3 linked regions of the Neodiprion lecontei genome follow. The protein of the gene in region 1 purifies or fractionates together with the protein of each later gene. This does not show direct contact. Links are inferred from orthologs where the notes say so. Each region holds a gene or a part of one and is shown in the gene's direction. Other genes may lie near its edges.

The links.
Region 2: the proteins of armadillo repeat-containing protein 8 (region 1) and E3 ubiquitin-protein transferase MAEA purify together in Homo sapiens (affinity purification with mass spectrometry; 5 studies listed by BioGRID and IntAct, with this or other methods). This does not show direct contact. The link is inferred for Neodiprion lecontei from reciprocal best matches to the Homo sapiens genes ARMC8 and MAEA.
Region 3: the proteins of armadillo repeat-containing protein 8 (region 1) and ubiquitin-conjugating enzyme E2 H purify together in Homo sapiens (affinity purification with mass spectrometry; 3 studies listed by BioGRID and IntAct, with this or other methods). This does not show direct contact. The link is inferred for Neodiprion lecontei from reciprocal best matches to the Homo sapiens genes ARMC8 and UBE2H.

What each region holds. Positions count from the first base shown.
Region 1 is NC_060265.1:17,570,889-17,582,950, forward strand, and holds armadillo repeat-containing protein 8, read left to right. Parts: upstream 1-2,182; 5' UTR 2,183-2,435; coding exon 2,436-2,462; intron 2,463-2,597; coding exon 2,598-2,671; intron 2,672-3,060; coding exon 3,061-3,505; intron 3,506-5,222; coding exon 5,223-5,404; intron 5,405-5,770; coding exon 5,771-6,080; intron 6,081-6,418; coding exon 6,419-6,710; intron 6,711-7,638; coding exon 7,639-8,165; intron 8,166-8,290; coding exon 8,291-8,457; intron 8,458-8,855; coding exon 8,856-8,892; 3' UTR 8,893-9,605; downstream 9,606-12,062. Other genes in the region: islet cell autoantigen 1-like protein, read right to left, coding at 10,099-10,218, 10,346-10,994, 11,067-11,342, 11,742-12,062. UniProt on the Homo sapiens protein: Component of the CTLH E3 ubiquitin-protein ligase complex that selectively accepts ubiquitin from UBE2H and mediates ubiquitination and subsequent proteasomal degradation of the transcription factor HBP1.
Region 2 is NC_060260.1:13,757,965-13,767,613, forward strand, and holds E3 ubiquitin-protein transferase MAEA, read left to right. Parts: upstream 1-1,943; 5' UTR 1,944-2,146; coding exon 2,147-2,185; intron 2,186-3,806; coding exon 3,807-4,218; intron 4,219-4,740; coding exon 4,741-5,053; intron 5,054-6,097; coding exon 6,098-6,407; intron 6,408-6,680; coding exon 6,681-6,782; 3' UTR 6,783-6,935; downstream 6,936-9,649. Other genes in the region: equilibrative nucleoside transporter 1, read right to left, coding at 9,095-9,270.
Region 3 is NC_060264.1:30,548,974-30,555,877, forward strand, and holds the start of ubiquitin-conjugating enzyme E2 H, read left to right. Parts: upstream 1-1,690; 5' UTR 1,691-2,258; intron 2,259-2,264; exon of another isoform or gene 2,265-2,903; 5' UTR 2,904-3,431; coding exon 3,432-3,484; intron 3,485-6,904. UniProt on the Homo sapiens protein: Accepts ubiquitin from the E1 complex and catalyzes its covalent attachment to other proteins. E2 ubiquitin conjugating enzyme that transfers ubiquitin to MAEA, a core component of the CTLH E3 ubiquitin-protein ligase complex.

The sequences.
Region 1 (12,062 bases):
GAACTCGAGTCCTCCCGCTCCGCAGTCACGAGTGTTAGCACCTGAGCCAATACGGTCAGTATGGCTCAACGTCGTAAGAAGATCTGGCGAAAATCCAAGAAAAGGAGCGACTGTTTACTCGCGTCACCTTATAGTGCGTTTAAGGGCCCTAAATCATACTACTGCGTTCTTGAATAGAAAGAAACAAAGATTGACCTCCACTCTCATTCCACTCTAATCGCTGTCTCTTTCTACCAGCCGACCATATTTTGCGCGTGTTCGGAAATTGACTGAAAGTACTGTCAGTACTGAAAATCTACAGTATACGTCACTTGGATTTTCACCATTTTCAGTAATGACAGTACTTTCAGTCAATTTCCGAACACGCCCTTTACTGGTCTAGGCATAGTCCATACTATGGCCATACTATACGCCAATGGTGACGGAGGCATCTCTCGCTCAACCCCCTGACACTCCTGTTTTTTTGAGTCCGTCTTAACCACGGTCTTACATACAGGGCCGTGTTCGACGGTCTCTTCTTTTTGATGAACTTCTTCAAAATGATAGGAGCGCATGCGCAGAACGTACTTCCTGCTGCGCGAGACCGGCACATGCGCAAATTATTACAATGAGGATATAACCTCAACACCTGGTAAAATGTGTCAACAAGTTATGTGTTTTACCATAACTTGTTGCTTCTGAGACATCTTTTGTTCTAGGTATAAAGGAAAATCGCCAGTGAAAACAATACCAACAGTGTTCGATTCGTGGTTTGACCAATTTACCCAGGTTTTGAGGTTATATTCTCATTGTAATAATTTACGCAAGTGCCGGTCTCGCGCAGCAAGAAGTACGTTCTGCGCATGCGCTCCTATCATTTTGAAGGAATTCATCAAAAAGAAGAGATCGTCGAACACGGCCCAGGTCTTGAAACTCATCGAAATTTGCGAGGTGAGGGAAATACGCTTACGCCGCATTTTTGGTTTTTCGACGCTGCCGCTAGTTCGCACTGTCGTAAGGTAATGTTTGCAAACACAACCTATAAATTTCCCAAATTTTCCAAATGTACTTAAAGATGTTTTCAAGTATATCATTTAACATTTACCTCGAGAATTTTAGAAACAATATAATTTGATGGAGAATCTTTGTTGATACTGCCCTGCAATTTTTCTATCTCTTTCCCAATAACCTTACTCTACCACCCCGCCTCTAGCGGTTCCAACGGGAATTAAATGCTATTTCTCAAGCGTTCAGCCCCCACCACCAGAGTTTCCAGACCTGTATGTAAGACCGTGGACAGAACTAACTCTGTCCTTCGGTCTCATTCGGTCTCTGCTTCAGTAGCCACGTAAAACCGCGTATCCTATCACTATAAGTCTATGGGACGGATGCGTTCTCAGCAGCCCCCTGACACTCAACACTGCTCATATACTAAAAAATTGTACGCGTTTTGTCCCCGTTTTTTAGTTCCTCTACGTGGCGCTAGTAGACTTCTGACCACGGTCTTACATACAGGTCCGGAAACTAGTAGGGTAGGGAATGACTCAGATAATGAGGCAAAACCGTGGTTCTCGTCTTCGCCGTCTGCAGCGCTGCCCCCTCGGGGTGAGCCAATCATAAATCAGATAAGAACAGCTGATTTTTCGGAATCAACAATCCTGAATAACACTCAAAACTGATGAAAGATGCGAATAAAAATGATTGAGATGTTTATTAGCATTCCATGGCGGGCGTGATAATTGTTTTATTTTAAAGGAATTCTCAAATGTTTAAGTCAATAAAATCCATAAACATCAAGCGAGGGCTCACAACTTTTGAGACAGTTTGAGATCTTGTGTAGATGATCCACCGTTTACACACTTTACACTGAGTTATGAACTGTCAAAAACTTCGATGAGCAGGTTATCTTATCGGTATATATTTATATCTATCATAGCCCGGGCCAGTGGCGCCCCTAGCGGATAGATAGGAAACAAGACCGTGTGCCTCACTACCGGTGACACCCCCTACCACTCAAAAGTGCCGGAGTTACCAGACCTGTATGTAAGACCGTGCTTCTGACACGCTCGCTGCTCTCGCTGACCGCGCGCAAGCTTGTCAGACAACTACTAGCGTGACTAGTGGTGGAGATCGGCGGCAGAATCGAGGGACATTTTGCGAACCACTTTTAGCAGCGTGTGTCAGGGGGCTGGTTCACAGAGATCCATGTTCGGCAGACGTCGTTTCTTGTGCTCCAGGCTTTAAGTCAAACCTAGTTCGTATGCGGATTAGTTCACATATTACCGTCACGCTTCAATGCCAGACATGGCTAAAAGTTTCGTAACCTTGTGTAGCAGAAGCGCGTTTACGTCTACGTAAAAATAATAATAAATTATTTAAATACTCCATGCGTCAAATGGCGATCTGAAAATATCTTAATCTAAAGAGTAATAGTGTATTTACTATTTTAAAGAGCCATGGTCTCGTTGATGCAGCCGTATATGGTGAGTATATCAATACAACAATATTGCCTGATACGTGACAACCGGCCTGCAACTTGACGTTTTCACTACTTGTATCTTGAATGTCGATGAACGGTTTTACTTCGATTATTCAATGATATGTCATCGCATTTCTAGGACGTTGAAAGTTCTAGAAGCTACATCGACGAGTTATATTCTCCCAGTGGCCAAAAATGCCTGGAGGCTATTATGTGAGTATCTATAAACGATTTTTTCAACTATCCTAACCTCAAAACGTCTCATCGACATAAAATATCTAGTCTCATTTCCCATCCATTAGACACTTACATGTCATAACTTGTCATATATTATACCTTACTTCAAGTACCCCTGAGCAATATTCTCTTCTTTGTTAAGAGTATTTCTTCCATGCACAGCTTTATAAAATGTTTTCGTTTTCCGGGACTGTTCTTACTCTACAATTCCATAAATTTATCGATCATTGGAAATGACCAACAGCAGCGTTTTAAGTCATACATGAGCATTCAACCTTGTGAAATAAACAAAATTATTTCATGATTTATCCTCAAAGCAGGTCATTTACATCAATTTGTCTACATTTGCATTTAATTTTCAACAGCTGCCTAAAAAATTCAGTCATTGGAAGCAATCGGCAAAAGGGTTCAGTTATAGCGCAAGGCGTGGTGCCTAGACTGCTGCAGTTGCTAAGTGACTCGACCGGAAGAGTAGGAGATCGTGTGCGGCTTGAATCTGCTGTTACTTTGGGTTCCCTAGCGAAAGGAACTGATCAGCATGTCAGAGCGCTCATAGAACTGAATGTAGTTCCACTGTTGCTGCAAGTGCTGCTGGCCAGCACCAATCGTTGTAACGAACCTGACGATGATAATCAAACACCATTGGTCGAAGCATGTCTCAGATGTTTGAGGACCGTTTTTCACCACACAGCAGCCCCTGTTCATGCTATATATCAGGATCCTGGATTGGTTCCACGCTTATTGGCACTAGCTTCTAAATCTGTTACCAATCAAGTGTGTGTTGCTACCATTTTAACAGCAGCGTGCAAGGTACTAAGGATTATTCTCATTCACGTTTATAGTGCTGATTTTTTTTCACTTTTGCGCTACATATTACTACGTGTTGCAATGATGCATCATATCTTTCTCTGAAACTTCCTGTGATCAACCCTCATTAATCGAAGAAGTCGAAGTTTGTAATGGTATTGTTATAGTACATTTTTGGCAACAGTAATTACTTCGTAACATTAGGATTAACTGAAATTCAGTAAACTATAACATAGTATTAAACTGATTATACATTACAATTTAACATCTTCTAAAATAGTCTGAAGTTCCAAAATTAAGATGATCACCTTTCGTTATGGTAGCATTAATAACCTTCAACCTCATATTAATGAAAAACTGGTTTATGTGATTGGTTTTAAGTGCCTGTAATACATGTTAATCTCCTTCCGTGGAATTTTTTAATTCTATATTAGTGCAATCTTTGCAGCATTCTTTAAAGCTTTGTCTACAATATGTAGCTGAATTTTTGTTTTTGCTTACTTCTTATCAACTCAATCCTGGTATTTTTAATTGGTATCTCTGAGTTTTTGTACAGTGGTTGTATAGATCTTCATACAAATCTTGAAAGTATAAAACCATGTGTGTATTCATCAACGATGTCACTAAATTTTTGCTAATATTGCGAGGGTTTCTAAAGGCTTTTTATGAAATCCAGAGTTTGGATAAGCCATGAATATAGTCATAATAATATTGTTGCGATTATGCTAAACATTTCTTTGTCACCCATATTCTTCGGATATAGTTTATCCAAACTCTGAATCATCGATAATTATATTTCTTTACCTCAATGGGAAAGCAAAATTGGAACCATTAGCTTGAATAACATTGTAAGGCATACTTTTTGAAATTTTCAGGAAAAGCTAAGAAGAGTAATATTGTCAGATTATAGCCAAGTACGAAATAATGTTGCAGAATTTGTCATATTCCATATCGTCATACGTTTTTTCCCCTTTTCACTGTGTTCTGCCACTAATTCATCTTATAATTAGTCGACCACTGCGATAATACAATCGACAGAAGTTGCAATGTGATTCAAAGAAAAGTATTAAACTGTGAAAGCTCTACTGTAGAGCAAAACACGATTTTGAGATATTTTTCATTAATAATTGTGAAAAATGCATATAACTTACGCTCACTTTATATGTATGGATTAGAGTAACAATTACGTTTCAAAATTTGTAAGTTACAACGTTATACAAGCCAATAATTCATCTAAATCAACATATTTTTTCCCCATCTTATTATCATCTGAAAGTAAACAACATTAATATACAAAAATTTTTGAAGTGAACTTTCTCGATAACGTATATGAAAGAAATAAATTTACAATGAGAAAAATTAATGGATGACCATGGGAATCGAACCCGGGACCAGCGGAAGCCTGTCCATGGACTTATACCCACTGTACCACGAGGCATCCCCGCCGTTGTCACGTTAATCGTTCTCGTCTAGTATTATTGTTGTGCACATTGATAGTATTGTGTATATGTGGTTGATCGACTTTACTCCCACTTATACTCATTAGGTGCATGCGACTTTGCCTAACGAGTATGAGTGTGAGTAAAGTCGATCAACCATACATACACATTTTCAATGACAACTCTACATACTTGTTTCAAACCAAAGTCTGTACCAAATGATAAATATGTTTCTGAACTCATTGATATGTTTGATTCATTTATGTATAACGCGACAGCAGACAGCTGAAGAGCAGAATGCACTATCCCGAGGTGGAGCTGTTGGTGCGCTTGCAACGCAGCTAGACTCTCCTCTTTCTGATGTTCAACTACCAGCTCTCGCCTGCCTTGCAAATATGTGCTATCAGAATCACACGGTATCTGCACTAGTTGCTGCAGCTACAACCAACAGCTCTCAAGGCAGGTCAGTTATACCCTGAATTAATCAGATTGAGTAATTTGCAGACAATTTTAGTCAGTCACAATACTCTCGTAATTTCATCATAGATTTTCATACAACTCATAAATATTTGAACTGTTTTTATATTTTCATTTTTTCCAGTTTCTTAACAGTAATAGAATAAATAGTACCCAAATTTCAGTAGTAATATGATTAAGTAGTATGAAATATTTGAAGTACTATTTGCTCTAAAAACCGTGATCTGAATTTGTAAAACTAGTAATAATGCATTCCTGGTTAAATATATTGGATTTTTCGATATCTGGCATTCTTCTATGCCTGCAATTACACACTATGTTCTTTGTTATATTTATCTTATATTCTGAACAGAGCCGTGCCAGTTGCATTGGGCCAGCTGATGGGTCGCGAAAGAAGCGCACTAGTCCAACTCGAGGCAGCTCGGTGCGTTGCATATATGCATAGAGCTGGCGCTTTGACTTCGACAGATCCACGAGTTGTATATAGGGCACTGCCTTGTTTGGTAAGGCTTTGTCATCGAGAAAGACCTCCTAGAGAAAGAGTGGCTGCAGCAGAAACACTCGCGTACCTGACCGAAGTCGACACGGACCTACAACGACTAGCATCTATTAGCAATCACCTTATATCCAACCTTGCAGAATTGCTGAAGCCACATCCATCGGTAATTATGCTAACAAATTATTCCAATTTTGAAGGCTTAGTGTATGTGCAGTAAGATTATTATAATACAAACTTTTTCTAATATTTTTACTCGCGCACCCTGTAAGAATTCTTAATTTTCATAGTTGCAGCGTAGTCGAAGCAAAAAAACTTTTTATGTCATTTAAGGCATCTTGTTCGTCAAAAAAAAAAACCTCAGAACGTAATTGGAGCATTTTAGACACTGAACTGAATATCTGTACAGTGATCCTTACACGTATCTATTCAATAGACTTGTGATCAGCTTAACTAAGTTTTGAACATGCAAAGGTGAAAATTACATTACATTATTTCTTGTAGGTGCTAGATGCAACGCTTTCGCAGGATATGCGCCAAGCGGCATTCAGAGCATTTGCATCTTTGGGTGCAAATGATGAAGATATTCGTAAGAGGATCATTGAAACAGAGAACTTGATGGAGCAGGTGGTGGGCGGTTTGCAAGATCCCGGTGGACCACGAGTACGACTTGCGGCAGTTCGATGCTTGCACTCGCTATCGAGAAGTGTGCAACAACTGCGCACCACATTTCAAGATCACGCAGTATGGCGACCACTTATGCAACTATTACATGGAGCAGACAGAGGACTAGAGGGTACGAATGCTAAGCGCAATAAGCCTATGATATATGGAAAGAGTGCCAGTATGTTACGCAAACGATACGACACATCGTATAGCTACATTCCGGTTCGCGTTGGCCCTTGAAACTCCACAGTCGGTAATACATTTAAATTGGTCTTAAGAATTTTTCTATAACTCAACATGATTACTCAATTTAGTTTTACCACCATTAAAATATCTAATTAGCGCTGGTAGGAGTCACATTTCTCTTTTAGTGACAATTTTGCTAAGTGTGTATTCAATTTATGCGCGGTGCAGGTCGCATTTGAATTTTGACAGTTGGATTAATCATAGTGCGCTATTTGTCATCGAGTTTCTGTCATTTTATCGTAATTGAGCTTTACAATTGCACAAACTGCGTCAAGTACCTGCAATTAACAAATATCATTGTAAATTTCCTGACTTTGTCCTATATTTGTCGGCCCACGAGCTTAATCAATTTTCAACAGAGCCAATTTTTAAAACTTTGAGAAGGCCATGAGAAAAAACAAATAGAAATTGTTTGTTTTGAAGACTGCACTCACGACAGGGTTTTACAACATAAGGTGTAAATAAACTAATTAAAAGTAAGAACGGTAATCAAACGCACACCAAAAACATAACTAATTACCAAATTTTTCCAATCTCCATTATTTTGCTATAAATCTTGACTCATTTTTGCAAAATTGCACCTCTTGCTTCACTATTTTGAGAGTTTTCTGCTGCCAGCCCTGAGTATTGAAAAATACTCCAATACACATATGTTTATTGAAGATTTGTGAAAGAGTCATTTAGAAGTTGGAGATGCAGGGCATGAGTCGCGCCATCATCTCAACAGGGAACCGATGTACTGCACTTTATTCCAATCAGTATTGTTTTGGTTCCCATCGCTCTTGGTTGTATTACCTATATTACACCATTAGGTAGGGGATTAGAAGGCGAAGAGGACTTGCTAACTGTGGCCTCTAGCACCCTGTGCAACCTGCTATTGGAATTTAGCCCAAGTAAGGAGCCTATTCTCGAATCAGGTGGAGTGGAGTTGTTATGTTCATTGACCAGGCGACCAGACCCTGCGCTACGCCTAAACGGTATTTGGGCGCTGATGAATGTGGCTTTCCAGGCTGAACAGCGTGTCAAATCGCAAATCCTCTCTTGTCTCGGTACCGATCAAATATTTCGTCTACTTGCTGATCCGGAATTGGCTGTTCTAATGAAAACACTTGGCTTGTTACGAAATCTTCTGTCAACAAAGGCACACATTGATCGTATTATGGCAGAGCATGCTGCCCACGTGATGCAAGCTGTCATTCTGGTATTGGAAGATCCTGAACACCCAGCTGATGTCAAAGAGCAAGCTCTGTGTATTCTAGCAAATGTCGCCGATGGGGATCGCGCACGCGATCATATCATGGCAAACGAAGACGTCTTGAAGAAACTCATGGATTACATGGTTTGTGCATACATTATTTACTCCGTTTCTTTTCTAACAAAACCAATTCATATCACATCATATTTCTAACTATTGACATAAAACAAATAGAAATATATCAGTATTAACGATCTTAATGTCTTCAGATGCACAGTAATGTGAAGCTACAAGTGGCAGCTATTTTCTGTGTATGTAATTTGGTCTGGAGGGAAGAGGACGGGGCTGCGCAACGTCAGGCACGATTACGCGAACTAGGCCTTTACCGTATTTTACAACAATTACGACACACCAAGGACTCACAGCTATTCGAAAAGTATGTACATGTACATAAATATAATCACTAAAATTTTCGGCCTTTACGACCTTTATTTTTACAACGACGAGAAATTAGTTATGATCAGTTGAAGATAATGAAAGATAATGAGTTGCAATCCTCCATTCACTTACATAATTTACTTTGTCAACAAAGGCTAACACTTTCAATGGGTTTGACTTTTTCGAATAGTTCAAAAAAATTTGAGTACGAGTTGTTTTTACTCTATGATTTTATATCATGCAGAATCATAAATAAAAAAACAAATATTTAAGATTTTTTATTATGAAATTATCCAACTCGAATAATACGAGAAACAGTTCCTTAATTTCTTCAAATATCAGAACAAACTTCTAAGTCAACTTTTTACTGAAAATTATATTTATTTTTCGTTTCAGAGTAAAGGCTGCCATGTCTCAGTTTACCGATGCTTGAGTACAAAATCGACCGACTGATTCAGTTACGTTACCAACTAAAACGGTTTTAACTCCTTAAACCTCCTTCGGCAACCGTAAAATTCACAAATAACAATCAGTCACTGTAAACTCAAATCCAAACCCAGCCCATACTGTGATCGTTTATGTACTTTTATGTGCTCCCTGTTTGTAGATTAGGTGCTCAAGATTTTAAAAAAATCTCGCTTTAAGCTATGCCTGTGAGTAAGGTCTCCCTTCGTATTTCTTTTTCGTACAATTGATAAAAAGCTTTTAATCAATTGAATCAAATTACTGCAGATTTGTTTGTCTTTATAACATTTTTCGTCCTGGGAGTTTTTACGATAGTAACATTGAAACGAATCCCATTGATATCACACAATATTACAAACTGATCATGGTAATACATTTTATGGAATGACAAATGTGAAATATCAGTTACTACCTTACGTCAAAATGTGAAGGATCGTATGGGTAACTGATGCATCGTGAAATAGCGTAACGTCATTTGTAATACTTTTATTGTGGTCAACACGTCCCTTTTCATAATGGATTTGACAGGTGATCAGTACAGTACAGAAAATATCGAAAAATTTGTAATTAAATTAAATTAATTTAAACCCACACAACAAAGAGTGGTCTCGTATTTCTAGGAGCCATTTTTAAATAATAAATTCCTGTAAAAATGTAATAATATATTATTATTAAAAATTACGATCAAATCCGTAGAATTTTGAATGTAGTCTAATACATCTAAATATGTATAATACGATTATTTTCGGTAGAAACTCTTTGGTATAAATTCCTCTGTGTTTAAACATTGTACGAGATTCGTGAACATATTTCACTAATTTTTTTTATAAACTGCTATGCTCATCTCCATGTCGGAATGTTCGTTAGTAACGATAGATACTTCAATTAAGTACAAATAGACATATAGGTAACTTTTAATTCGGTTATTTTTACTTACATTATAGAGATTTCTTTCAATATTTTGCACTCTCAATAATAATTAAAAGTTACATTTTCTAAAACTAAAAGTATAATTTAAATTTAAAGGATGCTAAATGACTAGGAATAATGGCCATATAATGTATTCAACAACGGCAGACCTGTAACGCCGTATAAAATTAAACATGGCCACATCATATAAATAATGACGAATTACTAGTTCAAATATTTTATATATATATATAAAAACGTTGGACTAAGCAGGGGCATTTCTATCGCTGATTAGACTATCCATCGGATTGTTGGCAAGTGGATCTAACTCAGCAAATAAGTCCAGCCAAGAGTTTCCTGTTTTATTTGATTTACTTTTGTTCTGCTGAAATGAAAATGTTTGGCAATTATTACTTAGTGAATAGCAATAGCAAGTCTCGAAAATTCAATGCTTGCTATAGAAGCAAGTATTATTTTACTAAGATTAAAATTTATTTCGTTTATGTGCTCGCCTTATTGTCGTTGCTTGCGCTAACAGGATCTTTCTGATTTGTACCAAGTGTGGCAGCTCCTAAACTCTGTTTCAATATACCGGGTGGTAAGAAAGTATCACCAGACATCATTTCCCAATCATTGGCACTCGTAGTAGGTGTGGTATTTAAAATTTCTTCAAATAAGGCTACACTTTCTGAAGTTAACAAGTCAAGAGGTGCTTGCGGTTGTTGTTGTTGAGGATTAAAGAGTGGAGAGTTGGTAAAATCAAAACCAACACCAGTGCCAGTAAATGAATCCATTGCCAAATCCAGCTGTGTCAGACTTTCATCCAATTTTACTTGGTCTATCTTTTTTGCAGATTTCTCTTCGTTCAATTTCTTGGTCTGTGGATCTATGTTATTAAAGAAATCAGCAAGCTCCTTGTCTTCGGTGCTGTTTAAAAAGCTCTGAAGACCTTTATCTCTGTTCTCATCGTCAGTATTCAAATTCAATTGTGAAAGACTCAATTCCGTATTGTCTGGAATATGCGAATCATCTCCAATATCCAGTAATTTTTCATCATTATCTTTCTCGATGTTACCTGCTTCCGTTTTCTTCTCATCAGTTGCTTTCACTTCTTGAGCTTCCTCCACATTGTCATGATAGTCAGACTCGAAGAACAATAATCTATAATATCAATATAAAACCAACAGTTTTTGGTAGAAGCATTTAGATTACCTAAATTGCTAGTTCACTCACTTATCTTTGTCATCCAGATCCTCGTTGCCGCCTGTTTTTTGTGCCAGTTTGATAGAAGTCTCCGCAAGTTCCTTTACAACCATAAAATCGTACTGTTGGTAGCCCTTGAAGCTGTTTGCAATTGTTGCATATGCTTGAGCAGATTTTTTGGTAAAATTCAACAAGGTACTTTGGTACAGAACAAGTGCGTGACTAAACATATTGCATCTCGCCGCTGCCAATAAATCCACTTTCTGCAGGCAGTCCAGAGCCAAGTGATCAAACGCTGATTTACCTCTGTTAAAACCAAGATAACATCATAGCAATAGAACAACAAAAGTGTTCTTTGAAAAAATAATGCTTTACGAATCTTACATAAATTGAAACACTTGCGACTATGTTTTACAAAATGTATTCGATTTTACAAAGACTTAAAATCAGTTTTGCCACACTTGTAACATATAAAAGGGTTTTTTTAAATCCTAGCCAATTATTCTAGTATATCACGTTTCAAAGAGAATGGGAAACATGTATGTTATATTCTATTATTCTGTTTTTCAGAAATTTCAGAAATAAAGAAAATTGGGGTTCTCAAATTCCTGATTATAGGAGTACAAATGACAAACTGATTTGATTAAAATTAAAACGTTGCAGTTCATTTTATAGTGTTTCTACATTGAAACTACACATGCCTACCTTCGAACTCTAGTTTGAACCTTTCTGAACCGTTCCAGTTGCTTAAAAGTATCTGGGTCCAATTCTTGAGATACATTCTTCATCCAAGAAAGGGCAGCTCGATATTCAGTTCTAGCTTTTTCCATAGATTGAACATTTTGCAAAGTGTCCTCAATTGCCCTTTGCCGAAAAGTCTCAACCTCCTGATACAATCTGACTAACGGTGCTCTGAGAGCAAGTCTTTGTTGCCCTGAGTAGGATAGAGATTTCCCAACAGCTGACATCATCTTGCCAGCTCTAGTTTTATCCTGCTTACCAGCTTCCTTCAGAAATCGACCCATG
Region 2 (9,649 bases), on another chromosome or scaffold:
AAACCAAACTCAACGATCCTCGACAGCAATGTAGGTATGTCAAGTATTATTTCGCACAGTGCGAAAATGATCGGACGCGACGAACGAACGTACGTACGTTTAATGAATTATAAATGAATCATTTCTTCGGTAAAAGTGTTCTCTACTCAGTCGTACAATTAACGGTATAGTGTAACAATGAAGGAGGCACGTGGTGTTGGTATCATACATGCGTTCCGAACTCAAGTTTGAAATTCAAGTTTCAACAGACTCGTTTTTGTTGTCCGAAATTAACACAACTAGAAATTAAGGAATTAAAGAATAGAACAAATGATGAAAAGTTATGGCCGAAATAGTCTGATCGTCATTGTTGAGAAAGTTGCCACAATTTCTTCTTCCATGGTAACGCGAATTAAAGACGTCGATTGGCCCGATATTAAAGAAGCCAGTGAAGTCGTGTTTAACGAGTAAACTACGGTGTAACAGAAGCAAAGATAGAGAGAGAGCGGGAGAGAGAGAGAGAAACGAGAGGGGAGGAGTGGTAAGGGAGAACGGAAGGAGGGGGTAGATAAGAAATAAATGTAAAAGGTAAAAGTTTGGCGAAGAAGGAAAGCGACAAGTGTAACGTAATGGCGATAGCTGGCGGTTAGGCGATGGTAGAACGCCGCGGCCGTCGGTCGAATAGCCGACAAGTGCGCGTATTAAGGGGGAGGAATGAAATAAATGCGCGTGGCTGCCGAAGCGTCTCTACTCCCGCCATATCAGCGACGTAAACCACGCATCTTTTCACGAACACGTAACACCCACGAATGAATTGGAGCGCAGACACGCGCGCTTCGGATATTCTTCGGCTATAGCTAGGCCACCTATCTGTGCATCTATCTACCCGCCTGCTTGCCCGATGCTTATTGCGTTTGCCTGCGAAGAAAGACGCATGGATGGCAGAGCGTAGGCATCCTAGCCAGGAACCCGGTAAAACTATCGCTGATTATGCACCGGAATTATGTAGGGATTTGTCTACGTACCTCTTTCTAACGAATCAATCATTCGCCGAGATGAGTGACGGTGTAATATTTCGCCGTTGGAGAATCACCCTTCGAATCACGGCACACAATGTTAGTCGGGCGCACTTGGCGTTTCGGTGTTTGGTCCCGGTTTAACCCGAGTTTTTCTTGTTACTTTGGGCTTTTGGTTGCACAATTTGGGCCCAAGGGTCCCGCGCGCCCACCCGACACCCCGCACTCGCGAAAGTCACTCAATTGTCAACCGAAATAAGTAATAATTAACAGAGAACGCTTGCGAAGCACGGCCGAGCGACTCTCTCCCTCACTGGAGGAAAATGGCGGCCCCCCCGAGCGAGTAGCGCGCGCCTCCGATCATCGCCGAAATAATACGAACGACTGAATTACAAATGTTGTCCAATGTATTTTCACCGTTCGAATATCCGCCGATCGTCAAACCAGCTATGGATGGATGTTCGCCGATACCCCTTCCGACACGTTTCGCAAACCACGCGATTTTTATTTCAGAGTATTTTCAAACAGGATTAGCCTCGCTCACGTCGAAAGCTCACTCATCACTCGTCGTTTATATCTTCGTAAGCAACGCGCTGTCGTTTCGATGCATCGGGAAGTTGTGTCGTACGGATTTGTTCTTTCTACGTGTAGTATGTATAGGTATGTACATACCTTTCGCTTGACCGCAAAACTGTATTGTTTTTAATTGATAATTAGTATCACGCAGATTGACAAATTGGTAATTGCATCACTGAGCAAGAGAGGTAATTCAGCGGCAACAATTAACACGTTTCAAGTGACGATACAAAGCAGTTGTACAACGTGGAGATGTCGACTGGCAATCTTTCGAATGGCGCCATCTGTTCGAGAAACACAAATGTTGCAAGTTCATTATTTACTCGCGTGTAGCACCAAGTTAGGCGAAACTGCAGTCAAGTCTTGTATAAACGCAAATCCGTAGCATAGTCTGTTTGGAGTGTATGGTCCGAGGTCTGTTTACACCAGTCAGCTGGAAGATAATGGACGGGTTTTGATTTCAGCTACTAATGCGTAGTCCGTCAAGGCGTTCCACTGGCAATTCTTTGACACTACACGACATCAGAGAATAATTTGAATCAAATTGGAGCGATTTAATTCGAAGAGAATTGAACATGTCGGACGTTAAGAGCTTGGAGCACCCAACTTTGAAGGTAAATAAGCATGTTTCGTCACTTCGAAACGTCAGAATTTATTATGATGGCTGAACCTGAATCCTCTTCGAATTCATCAAACTCGGCTACACGATGGGAAAATTTTCTTCTTTCAGACACTTATAATATTCAGGCAAACAAAAAAGGTTTCCTTTTACAGCCGTTATCTGAACTTCCCAATATTGTTATCGTTTTTTATGAAAGTATGATAAGATTGACGAATAATTCTTTGAATAACTGTCATACACACCCGCGTAAGAATTTTTTTTCTCGCCCAAAGGCAGACTTCATCTTTGCATTGTTTTTTGTGTAAATCACTCGTTTGTAGTTTGTGATGGTCAGTCTTACGGTAGTTTTTCTTTCTTTCTTTTTGTCATTTCTTGACAAGTAAATACTACTTTCAATTTATGGTGTATCAAAAACATGAAGAATACTATTTGTATTCACTTACTCAATGCCATTTCTACCCTGTCTGAATAATGTATTCACAGTTGATGATAACGCTATTGTCGAGGTACACATGGCAGATCTGATTTTTTTTTTTTTTTCTCCTATTTATAACTGAAACAATTTATTCCCTGCTTGACCTTGGATTACTACAGCCGATTACAATTCGTACTTGTTCTGTATTGTCAAGATATTTTACGCGCCTCGTATATTCTTATTTTGATGTAAAATATCAAGTCCACAGATTGCAGACCATTTATTATTAATAATACTATTTTGAAATAGCTGAATTATAAGACATTTAGAAATAACACCAATTATAATTATTTTTCGCTTTACACTCAGCTTATCCCATTTTTATATAAAACTTCGACACATTATCATTTTCATCGTTAAAACACACTTAGAATAACAACTATTTTCTGCATCCTACATTAGAACTTCAAGCATGAAAAATATTAGACGTACTTCGAATGATGTTAATAAAAAAATTCCGGAATCTCTGTGGTACTGAGCATACCTTTTTTATTTAATCCAAGATGATTTTTTATTCATTTTTCCGAAGGATCGATTTTTTGGAACATTTCACGCTTGTCTATCGTTGTTTCTTCGTCCACACCTTCAAGATGTTTCTCAGAAATTTGTCCAAGATTAACGAGAACTAGAGAACAAAAATTTTCACTGGCTTGTGTTATTTAAATGACAAAGTAATGATTCAATTAACGCATAGCTTGACCTTCTCCTCTAGCTGAGATATTGTCAAAATTCAGATATAAATATGTAAGACATACAAAATGTAAAAATTCACAAATAGCATCATTTTATTCCCATCAAATCATGTACCGCATGCAATCTCACGAATTATAATATCCTGCACTGATTACAGGGAGACGACACAATGGATGAACAGTTTTTGTCAACAGATTCTTATACAAAAATGAAAAAATCTGCATTTAACAATTGGTTTGGCTTGTAATACTGAAAAACAATCGATTATTGTCAAAAATTGTCAAGAGAGAACTTCCTATAATTCCACACATCACTCCAATATTTTCAAAGATTGATTAAATTTTGTATTTAGTTTCCAATTATTGAACAAAGCTTACTGAAAACCGATATCAACAATACAAGCTGTGTGAATATCTGATCCAATTTACAATTAATTGTGTTCTAGGTGCCGTACGAGCTATTAAATAAAAAATTTCGATCAGCTCAAAAGACTTTGGATCGTGAAGTTTCTCATGTCCAGACAGCGGCAAACGAATTGGAGAAAGGATTAGTGGGAGAATCAGGGGGGGTGGCCAGCGGCGAAATAACTCGTCTGTTAGGAGGTGTTGTAGCTAGACTTCAAGTGCTCAAGCGTAAAGCACAAGAATCAATCGCAGAAGAGCTACAGGCTGGTATGGTCTGCAAAAGACGACTGGATCACTTGAAGGAACATGCCAATACAGCGCCAAGTGCTGTCAACCAGTGGAGAAGACAAAGACTGGACAGGATGCTGGTTGAATATTTCTTACGCAAGGGATACTATACGACTGCCACCAAGTTGGCTGATAATAGCGAATTAAGGGATCTGACTAACATTGGTAAACAGTAATGTTGTCTGAAGGATAATTCCTGACTATTGAAACACGTACTGTAAACTATCTTTTCCTTTCTGAAAAATTCGTGCAATTATAAAAATACCTATGTAATGATAATCATATTTATTTTGTACTTCATTCATTCCGCATTCTTTACCAGTTTAGGTATTAGCTATTTTAAAATGACTCAATCGTACAGAGGTGACATTCTTGATTTTACCTATTAGTAGAACGTTTTTTTAAGAACATCTGTAATTTTTAACCCCATCATTTTGATATCAAAAAAACGAAGTAAAAATTTTACTTTTCCACAATTACTCAAGGCCTTGTGTGGATTGGTGATCAAAACATGCCAACGAACTAACTCTAATCTAGAAAGAATGAAAGTTAAACTTCAAGATTACATATTGATCTTTATCACATCTTTAATATAAAATCTCATTAATCTTTTAACTTAATTTTATTTTAGTACTTTTAAAATTCCCGTCATACCAGACTTACCTTACCTCTTCATCTTTATTCCAGATGTGTTTATGGTATCAAGAGAGGTGGAAAAATCTTTGGCCAATCATGAGACAACAAGATGCTTGGGATGGTGTCATGATAATCGGTCCAAGCTGCGCAAGCTGGGCAGCACTATGGAGTTCAACGTACGTGTACAAGAGTTTGTTGAATTGGTACGAGCAGATCGTCGACTAGATGCGGTAAAACATGCCAGGAAGTGCTTTGCCAACTATGATGACTACCAGCTTCAAGAAATTCAGTGCTGTATGGGGCTATTGGCATTTCCAGTAAACACAGAATTGAGTCCTTATAAAGATTTGCTTGACGAAAAAAGGTGCGATTCATTAATTGGTTCAATTAGATTCTAGAATGTACCTTGTTTTAATGTTATTTTAGTAACTTTTCGATAAATTCAGTTTTATATTACAATTTGTGTTTCAGTTTATTCAGAGTTTAGATTATAAATGATTGTATTGTTATTAATTTACCTAATTCGGATTGATCGTAAAAAAATTTTTTTAAATCTGTAAATTGAATTTGATATCGATGTTTACATGTAGAATTCTCTTCGATGTCTTATATAATGTTTATATTTGCCATCAAGTCAAGGTAGTAATCACACGTTTTTTTAATCGATCATCCTCCAATATTTTCACTCGAACTATGCGACTCCTTCCGAGAGCATGCGTTAAGCATCTCTATTAATAAAATCAAGCGACTCCTGATATAGGAAAAGAAAAAAATTAAGACTTCAAAGTTATAATTAGGCTAATGTAACATAAGTAGTAAATACAGGGACCCTTACTTTTCGTAGCACTTGAACTCGAAACAGGTTTTGAAGTTGGGGCCTTGATTCGAAAGGATAACTGGCCAAGAAATTTGAGTTCGTATCTGAAGAATAAGTGATGTTTACATTTTTTTCCACCTCAAAACAACTTGCCTCCCCTGATTAAAATAATGTAAGTTTTGACTAGTTTTTGTGTTCTTGTTTGTTTGCCTATGTGAATCCTGAATATTCCAGGTAATTAATAGTACTTTTGTTCCAAAGGTGTGAACATTATTATTCGTCATAATAAGCGTAAAGTATCCACGCAAAATGTTCATGTTTTGCAGGCGTCAAGTAGCACTTTATACCTGCTAAGACGATTTCCAAAAAATCTGAACCTTTCAGCGTACTTCACACTTCCTATGGTGGAAAGTAAGTTTCTTGAAAAGGATTTGCAGTTTAGGTCGAATTGTTGTAGGATGATCGACTAAGACAATATATGCTAACTATCCTAACTCAGTCCCCAGTAGGAATAAACATTTTCATCAACATCGACGTTTTCTTCTTGTTTCTTTGCAATAGTTTTAATCACAAAAAAAATTTGTTCTTCAGATGGGAAAGGTTGATTGAACAGTTTCGCCATGAAAACTACAGGCTATTTCAACTGGCTAGTCAAAGTGTATTCACTGTGGCATTGCAGGCTGGTTTGTCCGCTCTTAAAACTCCACAATGCTACAGCGTTAACAGGGAAGGCAAAAATCCGAGTTGCCCAGTTTGTAACGAGGCATTAAACGAACTTGCAACTACTCTACCTTTTGCTCATTGTTCGCAATCTCGACTTGTCTGCAGTATCAGCGGCAAACCACTGAATGAATACAACCAACCAATGATGATGCCTAATGGATATGTATATGGTGAACATGTGAGTTACCCCGGTTTTCATTTTTTTTTTTTTTTTTTTCCATCCATAATATAGTGAATTAAATTTTTTTCTCGATTACGAACATTTGTAGCAATGTTTTCACTTTTTGGAACCAGGTCAAAGCTTTTGAATCATTTCAGTCACTGAAGAAAAGAAAAGGTCGAGTTGCGGAGACATGCAATAAATAAAAATTTATGGCGGCAATTGTTAATACAAAAAAAAAGTGTAAAGTAGATTTAACCAGTATCGTTGCTAAAAATGTAATATTTACAGGCTTTAGAGAAAATGGCACAGGAAAACAATGGAACTGTCATCTGTCCGAAAACCAAAGAAGTATTCCCATATAAGAAGATTGAAAAAGTTTACGTCATGTAAAATACTCGTACTATAAATATTTTCAAGTGTATAATATAAAGTAGAATCTTTTTTTTCTCTATCTCATTCTCTCATGTGAATTTTGAATAAAAAATTATCACTTCTTGTATGCTACACCTTAATCGTAAAATAAAATCTATTTTCAGTGAAAAATTATAGTTTCTATTTCAGCGAATTATTCTCCACGACATACAGCGTTTATGCTGTCACTATATTGGATATTTGTGTGTACAAACTGTATCACATGTATTGAAGATTCCTGTGTTTGAATCACAATAATGCAGAGGAAAATGCCATATTATTAATCCCGAAGAGTGTTGATTTCGGTTGGGAATATTTAATTTGATCAGAAATTCGGTATGAGAGTACTTCAGACTGTTTTCGCTGAATAGCATCTTTATGTTCAATAAATATGTAAATCATCATGAAATTACCGTAAATTTCATTTGTTATGAGTCATCTCTTCCTTCTCTTAACTACATATGTACATGAAACTCAACATCCTTCTGTTTGCTTGTGCGGATGTTACCTTATAACTCCAGAATTACTGAACCGACTGATTCTTTTTTCCTATGGATAGATTATATTTTTTTACAACCAGATCAATAGCTTTGGCGATATAATAACATTCGTAAGCCAAGGCGGAACAGGACTACACACTTTTGTGACTGCTGACTGAACTCTTACAGATAAAAAACATTATACTCCAGTGTTTTCAAGGTGTCAATGAACTCTGTTAAATAGTAGCGAGAGCATGTGTCTATGTCTAATAGTTTTGCCACAAAACGCATTGGAAAATATTCGTGGGTGTGGCCGCAACGTGTTGCTACTTTATAATATCTTAGACAAATGAGTCACAAACTCCAATATCTAGTTGAAGAGTACAATTTCGAAATTTTCAGGTGAGTTGAAAAATTAACGACGGAGCCAGGAATCGAACCTGGTATCTAGAGATGCTTTACCGGAGACTTACTCCACTAGACCACCTAGCCGCCCTGACTACATGTCATTAATTTCTCTCATCACCTGTATTTCAAACATTGTTCGTTTTCGTGTGCCCTTGAATATATTTACATTTAAAGTTCATCACGATAGCACATATTTTGACTTTGTGTGTGAAGCTTGTTGACATGTGCACACATGTGACGTCTGTATGTGGCTATTAATGTGAATTACATTAATTTAGCAATTTTGAACGGCGGGCCGTTCATTTTTGCTGATATGAAATACAACATATCATATTTATAGCGAGAAAAATTTGCTAGTTGAAGAGTACAATTTCGAAATTTTCAGGTGAGTTGAAAAATTAACGACGGAGCCAGGAATCGAACCTGGTATCCAATATCACCAATGAACCACAGCATGACACTCAATTGTCAGTTTCAATTATGAATTCTATACTTCGTTCATCTTTGCTAGATTTGCTCGAAATCATGGTTCGCAAAAACTTTGTATATTTTTGAATTCCAAACGGTTTGACTCAATCTTTTGATTTTAAGTACAAATCAAATTTCAAAAAGTCTAAGCAGCTCATTACATTTTATACACATCTTGGAATAATTTTTTATGTATTCATAATTACCAAACTTGAGACTGTTGTTTAATTGCCGAAGAGAGTAGGAATACTAAAAAATGAGAAAAAGAAGTTCAGTGAGAAAATGTAGCAACAACGATGCCAACCTTACATAAGGCAAATTACATGTATTCAATGTTATTTACAAATCGGTGATTGAAGCTGGGTATAAAACTAATTAGGTTCTGGAAACAGTTGTTTTTGTAAGTTTAAGCATGAAGAATGTAAAATACGCCGCTAAAACGCTTCACCGTAATGTAAGTGGAGAATTACGTGTTTGAATTAGAAGGTAAAAATATCTCTCTACATGTTTTCACTTAATTAAAATGTTTGCTTACACTTCGCCATCGATTGTCTTGACTACATTGCAGACTTTGCGATATTTTGGGTCATTGATATAATCTATTTCACAACGGCTCAAATCAATGGTTTATTTCGTGGTACAAACAAATTACTGTCACAATGCCGAGCTGGCATAACTACAATTCAATGTTCCGTCGTAAAATCTTAGAACCAGTTTTTCTCAATTGAAGTACGTAAAAAGCAATTTGGACAGGCACATCTGAAAACGAATTCTATCGTTCTTGTAATAAGGCAAGAATATGACGTTAAATATAATTATTGATGATAAATTACTATACATACTAATAAATGTTGATGACTGACAGATATGTCCTTAAAGAATGATAATATATGCGATGACATTCAATTAAATGATGACAATATAAAAATATTTGGCCTAAATGAAACTGGTTACTAATCGTACACTGTACACATACACATATTTCAGTAATCGAAGTGATTCAAATTCATCCATCAACAGTTCTCTCGTTTTTCTTTCTTCATTTTTATTGTCTCCATTGCTTAATATGAAGGATTGTCCCCCACGAAAATTAAATCCATTAGAGTTTAGTCCTGAAGTGGCCAGGTGTAATATGTAAAAAGTAAGCTCATATAAAGTTGATTGAAATAATGAAAAGACAAGGTGTATAATTGTATACATAAAAAAAAAGTATTATTTTACCAAGTATCAAAGGTCTGCTACTGCAGTTTGTAGAGTATATTAGTTATACGTGTAATTGTACATATAGTTCACAATAAAATATAATATTGTCTGGCGCAGCCAGGATAGGAAACATTGACGTACTCAGTACGATATAACCGGTGTCTGATAATTTCAAATGATTATTCAAACGATTTGACAATTTTTAGTTCAAATTTGATCAAAGGTGTTATTATGATTATAGTGATGGACTAGATATACATCTATGTATATTTACTGATCGAACTTCAG
Region 3 (6,904 bases), on another chromosome or scaffold:
TTTTAACAAGAATATGTGTTTTTAAAATTTCACTGTGATTATATATATATATATACGTATACGCATCCTTACTTCTTTCTAGACTTTTGAAAACAACTTAAATTGTTTTTTACTAGGGAATAGTTAGCCAGAAAAAAAATGAGGAAGAAAACGCGTTTTTAATAATTTGAAGACAGAACTTTTAGTATTGTGTCATTACGTGCGTGTTTGATAACGATACTAGCAATTGTCATAATTGAATTGAATTCTGTTACATACATTCTGTTAATACATTTAAAATCTGTAAAAAAAAAATGGACGAAACTCATATTTCATAGTTAATTCACAATTTGTAAAATATTTCATTTCGGAAACGACCATATATGTATCGTATGTTTTGTAATATATTTTTCTTTCATCCTTGATAAAATGGAGGAAAAGAAGAAAAACGAAGCTATTAAATATCCGAATTATGAAATTTTGTAGTCTTGTAATTTACGTAAATTAACGTCAACCGTTCGACTAACACACGATGGGTTAGGTTAATTTATATTCTCTACCGGTAGAGTAAACGAAGTGACTTGAAGTGACAAATTAAAAGAACATCTAGCACTTCAATGATTCCGTACATTGGCTGTTCGGCGTTGGGCAACAGAAATATTGCCAATAATAATTACAAAACTTGTTTTGTGTTTCAAAGACCGCAAAAGACTATTAGTGTACGGCCTAAAAATATTACCTTAGTATAGCATTGGATTCCGAGCGCTGTCAACGATCCAAGTCGAAACTAATCGAAATAACGCTTCTCGGCGTGGGTTCTATTATTTGCTATCAATGGTATGAAAACTGATGAAAACCGAGCAAAAGTCTGAAGTGCGGTAAAAAATCCAGGATTTTTACGGAGAAATAAAATGTCCGATAGTCCTGAGACTGTTGGCCGTCAGCCGTATCTAACTAGGAGAACCTGATAAATACAAGGGGGCTATATTTAAATTGCAATTCATCATTCCAAACCAATTATCCGTTATTCCGAAATACGCTACAGGGTATTACGTCTATTAGGTTTACGGGTGGTAGGTTCGTTATAGCTTTTGCCCAACAGCCACCAATTTCTAGAAAATAATAGGGAATATTCGTGGGATTTGTTCGTACCCGTAATAGCTACATAGGATGTTACTGCACATGAGGAGTTCTGAAGGTAGCTTGCGTATACAGAGAGTGTAGCGGAGGAGTGAGAGAGAAAGAGGTATATGTTTGTTATAATCTATCTCTCTCGCTCCACACCTGATTGGCCGATACGTTTTCTCTAAGCCAATCAAAAGCAGAGTGAGAGACGCAGAGTAACCCTACACACGCCCTAGTATATATCTATCTCTCACTACTTCCGCTGTATTTTTCGCGAGATCGATGGGATGATCAGCTCTCTCCAGTAGTATATGCTCTAAGGTGGAGAATTCCTTCCCACCTGCTGGCAGCTGCTGGCGCCACCTTTCAAAACAAGTTTTGAAGAGAGGAGAGAGAAAAAGGACAGATACATGCAATCTGCGGATGGTGTGCGTGTGTTTGTGTGTGTGGTACACAAGCAGCCCACGATACTGCATGGATACATAGGTATGTCAACGTAGGAGTGCGCAGCGTGTTCGCGCGACAAAGAGCTACACGACCCCGTCGATTTGGAGAGGGATGGAGGCGCGCGGTGGTGGGATGCTAGGTGAAACAGTCAGTCAGATGCGCCAAGTCAGAGGGCTGACAGGTCGCGGAGTGCGAGTGTGAGAGCGAAAACGATGAGAAAACTGTAGTAGAGTTCTGGAATATGGTATATGTGCGACAGGCGAACTAGAAAGAAAATAAGACGAACAGGTTCGAAGTGCAGTAAAATTGTGTTGAAATCGAACTGGGTCGGGAAGGCATAATAAAGAAGAGCCCGTAGCGAATTTTGAAAAACCTCGCCTGCATACATAATAACTAAGGGAAAAACGGAGCGCGTATATGTGTATGCATAGATCGTCGCGTCGTCGTCGTGCATCGTGTGTAACATACATACGAACGTACACCGTACGTACGTCGGGTTAAAGAAAATCAGCCCACCAATCAATCCTCGTCGAAATGATTATCTAGCATTAGCGTAAACTCGTCGTTCTCCTGTGAGGGTTGCAGTGGAGTTTGGTGACAAAGAGGAATCGTTCGGTTTTACGCTACGTGCGGACTGACGGTTTTTTCAATAACCTAGGCCAGCTAGCTGGCTAGCCACTTCGATAATTACGTGGATCTCGTTGTCGGTAAGGGAGATCGCTTCTTTCTTCGATAGTGTTTTCTTTTCACAAAAAAAAAACAAGAAAGAAAAAATCACGTACACATATCTTCTTTCCGATAAATAGTATAGATAGTGAGGTATACATAACGCGACAACAAAGGAACGTCAACGAATCTCAATCGCTGTTGGTATCCTCTGGCTGCGCATAGGTTTTAAAATATACGCGTGCATACATTTGATGTATACATACATTAACTAACTCTACCCACACATGAATTACACATGAAACTCGGACGTGTTTTGTTTCTGGCTACGCAGCTGCTCGATTCTTTGTCTCCCTCTTTCTCCGTCTATCTATCCTTTTCTCGCTCACAATCAGCGGATCACCCTGCGTGAATTTACTTGCATTGTCGATCGTTTTCCCCGAGTCGCTTCGTCATCTTTAATTTTCTTTGCTTTAATTCCAATTCTCAATTTTAATCATTCTTCTCTCTTATCTACTTGGCTTCTGCGTCGCGACGTGTTTTTATACTCCTTAGTTCCCCTCCTCACCGCCTTACTTCACATCCCACCCCCCACTTCTTCGCCCACTCGTAGAACCGACCGCCCATGTGTATAAAGTTGTGATGACCGCAAGGTCTGCTGCAATTTCATGATTTCATCAAACCAGGTCGTCCTACCTTAGTTAATTAAACGACGAGAGGGTGATCAATTGTCCACCAAAGTGTGATTCAGTGTGCTCGGATTATAACAATTCACAAATTTACAACGTCAATGACAGTTCGGAACAACGTGAAGAATAAAAATAAGTGAAATAACCTAAAGTTCAGTGTGCTGCTGCGGGTTTTCGGAAAATCTGGCGAACCTGATTATTGAAATATTGCTAACAGTAGTGGAGGTGAAAAATACCTAAAGAATATATTTCTTTTTATCCGTCTAATCGTGTAGACAGTGTTAATGTTACGCCGAACAGACTGGAGGAGAAATATAATCCCCCCGATCGTGTTTACCGTCATCGTCGCTGTCACATAAGCAGACCCAGCACTCGATCGGCAAGCCGATCTACCGATACGATAAAAGTTTTGGATATTTATTTATTTATATTTTAATTTCTATTTATTTTAGTACATTTTTTTCCCCTTCGTGTTTTGGTTGTCGTCGTTGTTGTTGTTGTTGTTGTCACTATTAAACAAGAAACATGTCGTCACCAAGCGCTGGAAAACGACGTATGGACACCGATGTCATCAAATTGTATCCTTGACTCATAAAACATTGCCAGTATACATGATGCATAATATGTAACATACTGTAGAAAATAATAATTATTATTGACACACGTGTTATAAATTGCGATACACCAGACGTTGTTAGAGAATCCGATAAGTCATTCATTCGACGTTTCGTCAGTAACGCGTCCATCCGCATGCATCCACGTACCTTTACACATGCATACATACATAATACCTATGTGTAAAATAAATTATTCATTTTAACCATGCTCCGACCTCTCGTATATCCTTTCATACTTCCAATCACCATCGTCCTTCCTTTCTAATCGTCTTCGTTTTCAATGCGTGTAATTTCGTTCAAAATTTTCTCCAATTTCATCATCATTCACTCATGTTTCCTAACCAGTTTACATGCCCGTCGATATTAGGGGGCCCCAGTTGTTACGCCCCTGGTGCATCCCCTCCTCAACGCCGTCGCTAGTTCTCCATCCCTCCTTTTCTGTCTTTCTCCGTCTACCGCACAGCTGTTTTTAACAACCAGCTGATTGCTGTACACACGAACATGTATAATACGTGCCTCTTGTACGTGCACGCGTTTAAAAATTTTTATCACTTCAGAGGTCAGAAAATCGAGAGTAGTAAGAATAAGAAAACACAAATTCGACGTAATTTCTTGCAGGATGCATAATTTTTACAATTTGCAGATAGTTTTTAAAATCCTTGTTTCTTTTGGAACGAAGTTCCTTATCGCTCGTTCACCGTAGGGGCTAGGCGGAAAAAAACGACACCAAAAAACCGACACTTTTTGGCTATAGTGCTCGTTTGCTATAGTGCGCGCGATCTCCCTCTCTCTCTCTCTCTCTCTATTCCAGCGTGTGCGCGCGCTCTCTCTCTCTGTCTCAGCGCTTGGGGTGGGAGACGGCAGCAGCGGTCTCTCTCACTCACAGCGCACGACTATACTTCGCCCCTCTTTCTCTCTCCTACAGCGTACAACTATACTTTGGGCCGCAGCGCGCTCTCTCACAGCGTACGTCTATACTTTGCCTCTCTTTCTTTTTTTTTTTTCTTTTTTTCTGGCGTATTCCAAAAACTTTCTCTTTTCCCCCGTTCTCTAGCCTATTGAAAGTTTTCTCATTTTCAATTCTACGCGAGCGATTCAACTTTCATTTTATTTTCAACCTTTTCCGCCAAACCATGTTTTCGCGATAGTCTTCATTCTGTTTGTTTCGTCATTCTATCACTTTTTGCTTTGCTCTCTGCCATTTTGAAATCGATTCTCAGTTTTTTTTTTCTCTCTTTCACTACTGTTCGCGAAACTGGCGGCTGCGCTTTTACCCATCTCGTAACACGAATGCAGAGTGTATGTATGTATGTATATATGTTCAGGTAGATGATATTATACGGTCATACAGCTGTTCTTAAACAGCTGATTGAGCGGCTAGAATGTACATAATAAATATAACGCGCGCTAAAAGGAAGACGGCATATTAACCCTTGGAGTTACAGATTATTGTGCCGAGTCAACATTTGTAACAAGACAGTATTATATGTTTTTGGGATCGCTGATTACGAATCTGAAATTAGATTTCACAAATTCAAGATGGCGGAGCCAATATGGCGGCCTAAAATTTCAAATTTGACAGAATCCAGTTCAAAAAACTATGCAGGAGTCTTCGGGGTCGCTGATTAGATTCGTGGTACTGAATTTTCGAAATCTGGTTTCACATTCGTAATTAGCGACTCCAAAAACCCCGGGACAGAGTTTTTTTCTCCGGATTCTATTGAGTTTGAAATTTTCATTCGCCATATTGGATCAGCCATTTTGAATCTTTTAAATACAATTACAGATTCGTAATTAGCGACCCCAAATCTTATACTTTATGTTAAACATGTATATGTGTAGAAGGATGTTTCTTAGAAATCAATTATTCCTTCAGTTTTCAATATTTTTTTCAATCAATTTATTTCTAATAATAATAACTTACATTGTGTCGCAATAATTACTCTCGAGAATTGAAAACCTATTGGTATACTATTAGAAATAGTAAAAAACCGCAAAGAAACATGTTTTCAAAGTTCTCTAAATATACAAAAAATGGATATAAAATAGGTGGTAAGAATACTTACCACTACGACTCAAAGAATCAATTCGCGGTCGTCGTCGTCGTTGTTTTAGCACTTTGTCTAACGCAACGGAGATTTTCGTTAGCTTCTTTCCACAGTTTTCTCTGCACTCTAAGCTATATCATATGTATATGTTTATATATGCCTTCTGTTTACGAAGTCTCTGCCCCCGCTTTTCCCTCCTTCTCCCACTTCCACCCTCGTTCGTCGACCCTCTGCACATTCATCGCCATATAATGTGTTCGGTTATCATTATTGTTGTTATTATTATTACCTTATTCCATTTTATTTTCTCTTGTCGTCTTTCTTGGGTTTTTTATTTTATTTATTTTTTTTTTGTTTTATTCTTTTTTCTGTTTTCGCTCGTATATATTCGGGGTATGCTTCAACGTGCAGGTTTCTCGCTCCGCAAAGATCAATAACGGTTCTACAATTTTACACGTCGAATCGTTTTCTCTGCCTGTTCTTCAAGCCAGTTACCTCGATTTTGGATGGGGCACGACTTATGCTAGTTCCGCGAGGTAGCAAAAAACGAAACATAACAACACTTCCCTTGCATAATGCGTGCGGTGATGTCTGCGGCAGATTTAACAGTTCTTATTTATTCATTGAATTATTTATTTTCTTCTTTCAATTATCAACACCTCGCGTACATGCAGTTCAACCGTGTTATGTTTAGTATAATTATTAAAGGAATAGGCAAACAGTCGCAATGTGTACAAACATGTAACGTATCATGTCATTTGGCAATTTTAAATCAATAAACCGAACTTACGTTTATTTTTTTCGAATAACTTTTACGGTATACACGTACGCATGTATATTATACACGTGATAACTACACGACGTGTTATATACCCTTAACTATGATACGTCAACACTTCTTTATCGACATTCTGCGGTACGCGATTTTTAAAATACGCTAAAACGCTGGGGTAGTCGATCATTATTGTTCGTTATTATTGTACAACGATATGAAACAACTTTTCTTGCGGTCCTTGAGACAAGAGAGTTTTTCATACTTCCGAGAAAATATTTTATTATTTTACTTTCCGTTTTTTCTTCAAGCTTTATATGTATAAACATATTTTGACTCACAGAATCAAATGTTAAAATCGCGAGTTTAGTTTCCGGTGAAAAATGAATCGATAATTCGATGGTTTCGGAGTTAGCAAAGAAAATATATAATAATTCACCCCGCTTGTCCTCCTGTCCACCCTTGTCGCACTCACAACATCAATCATTATTTATACGCTATACCCATCGGAAAGATATCGTCATTCTGAGTTTGAGAAACGCTCAAGTTTTTCATTTTCAC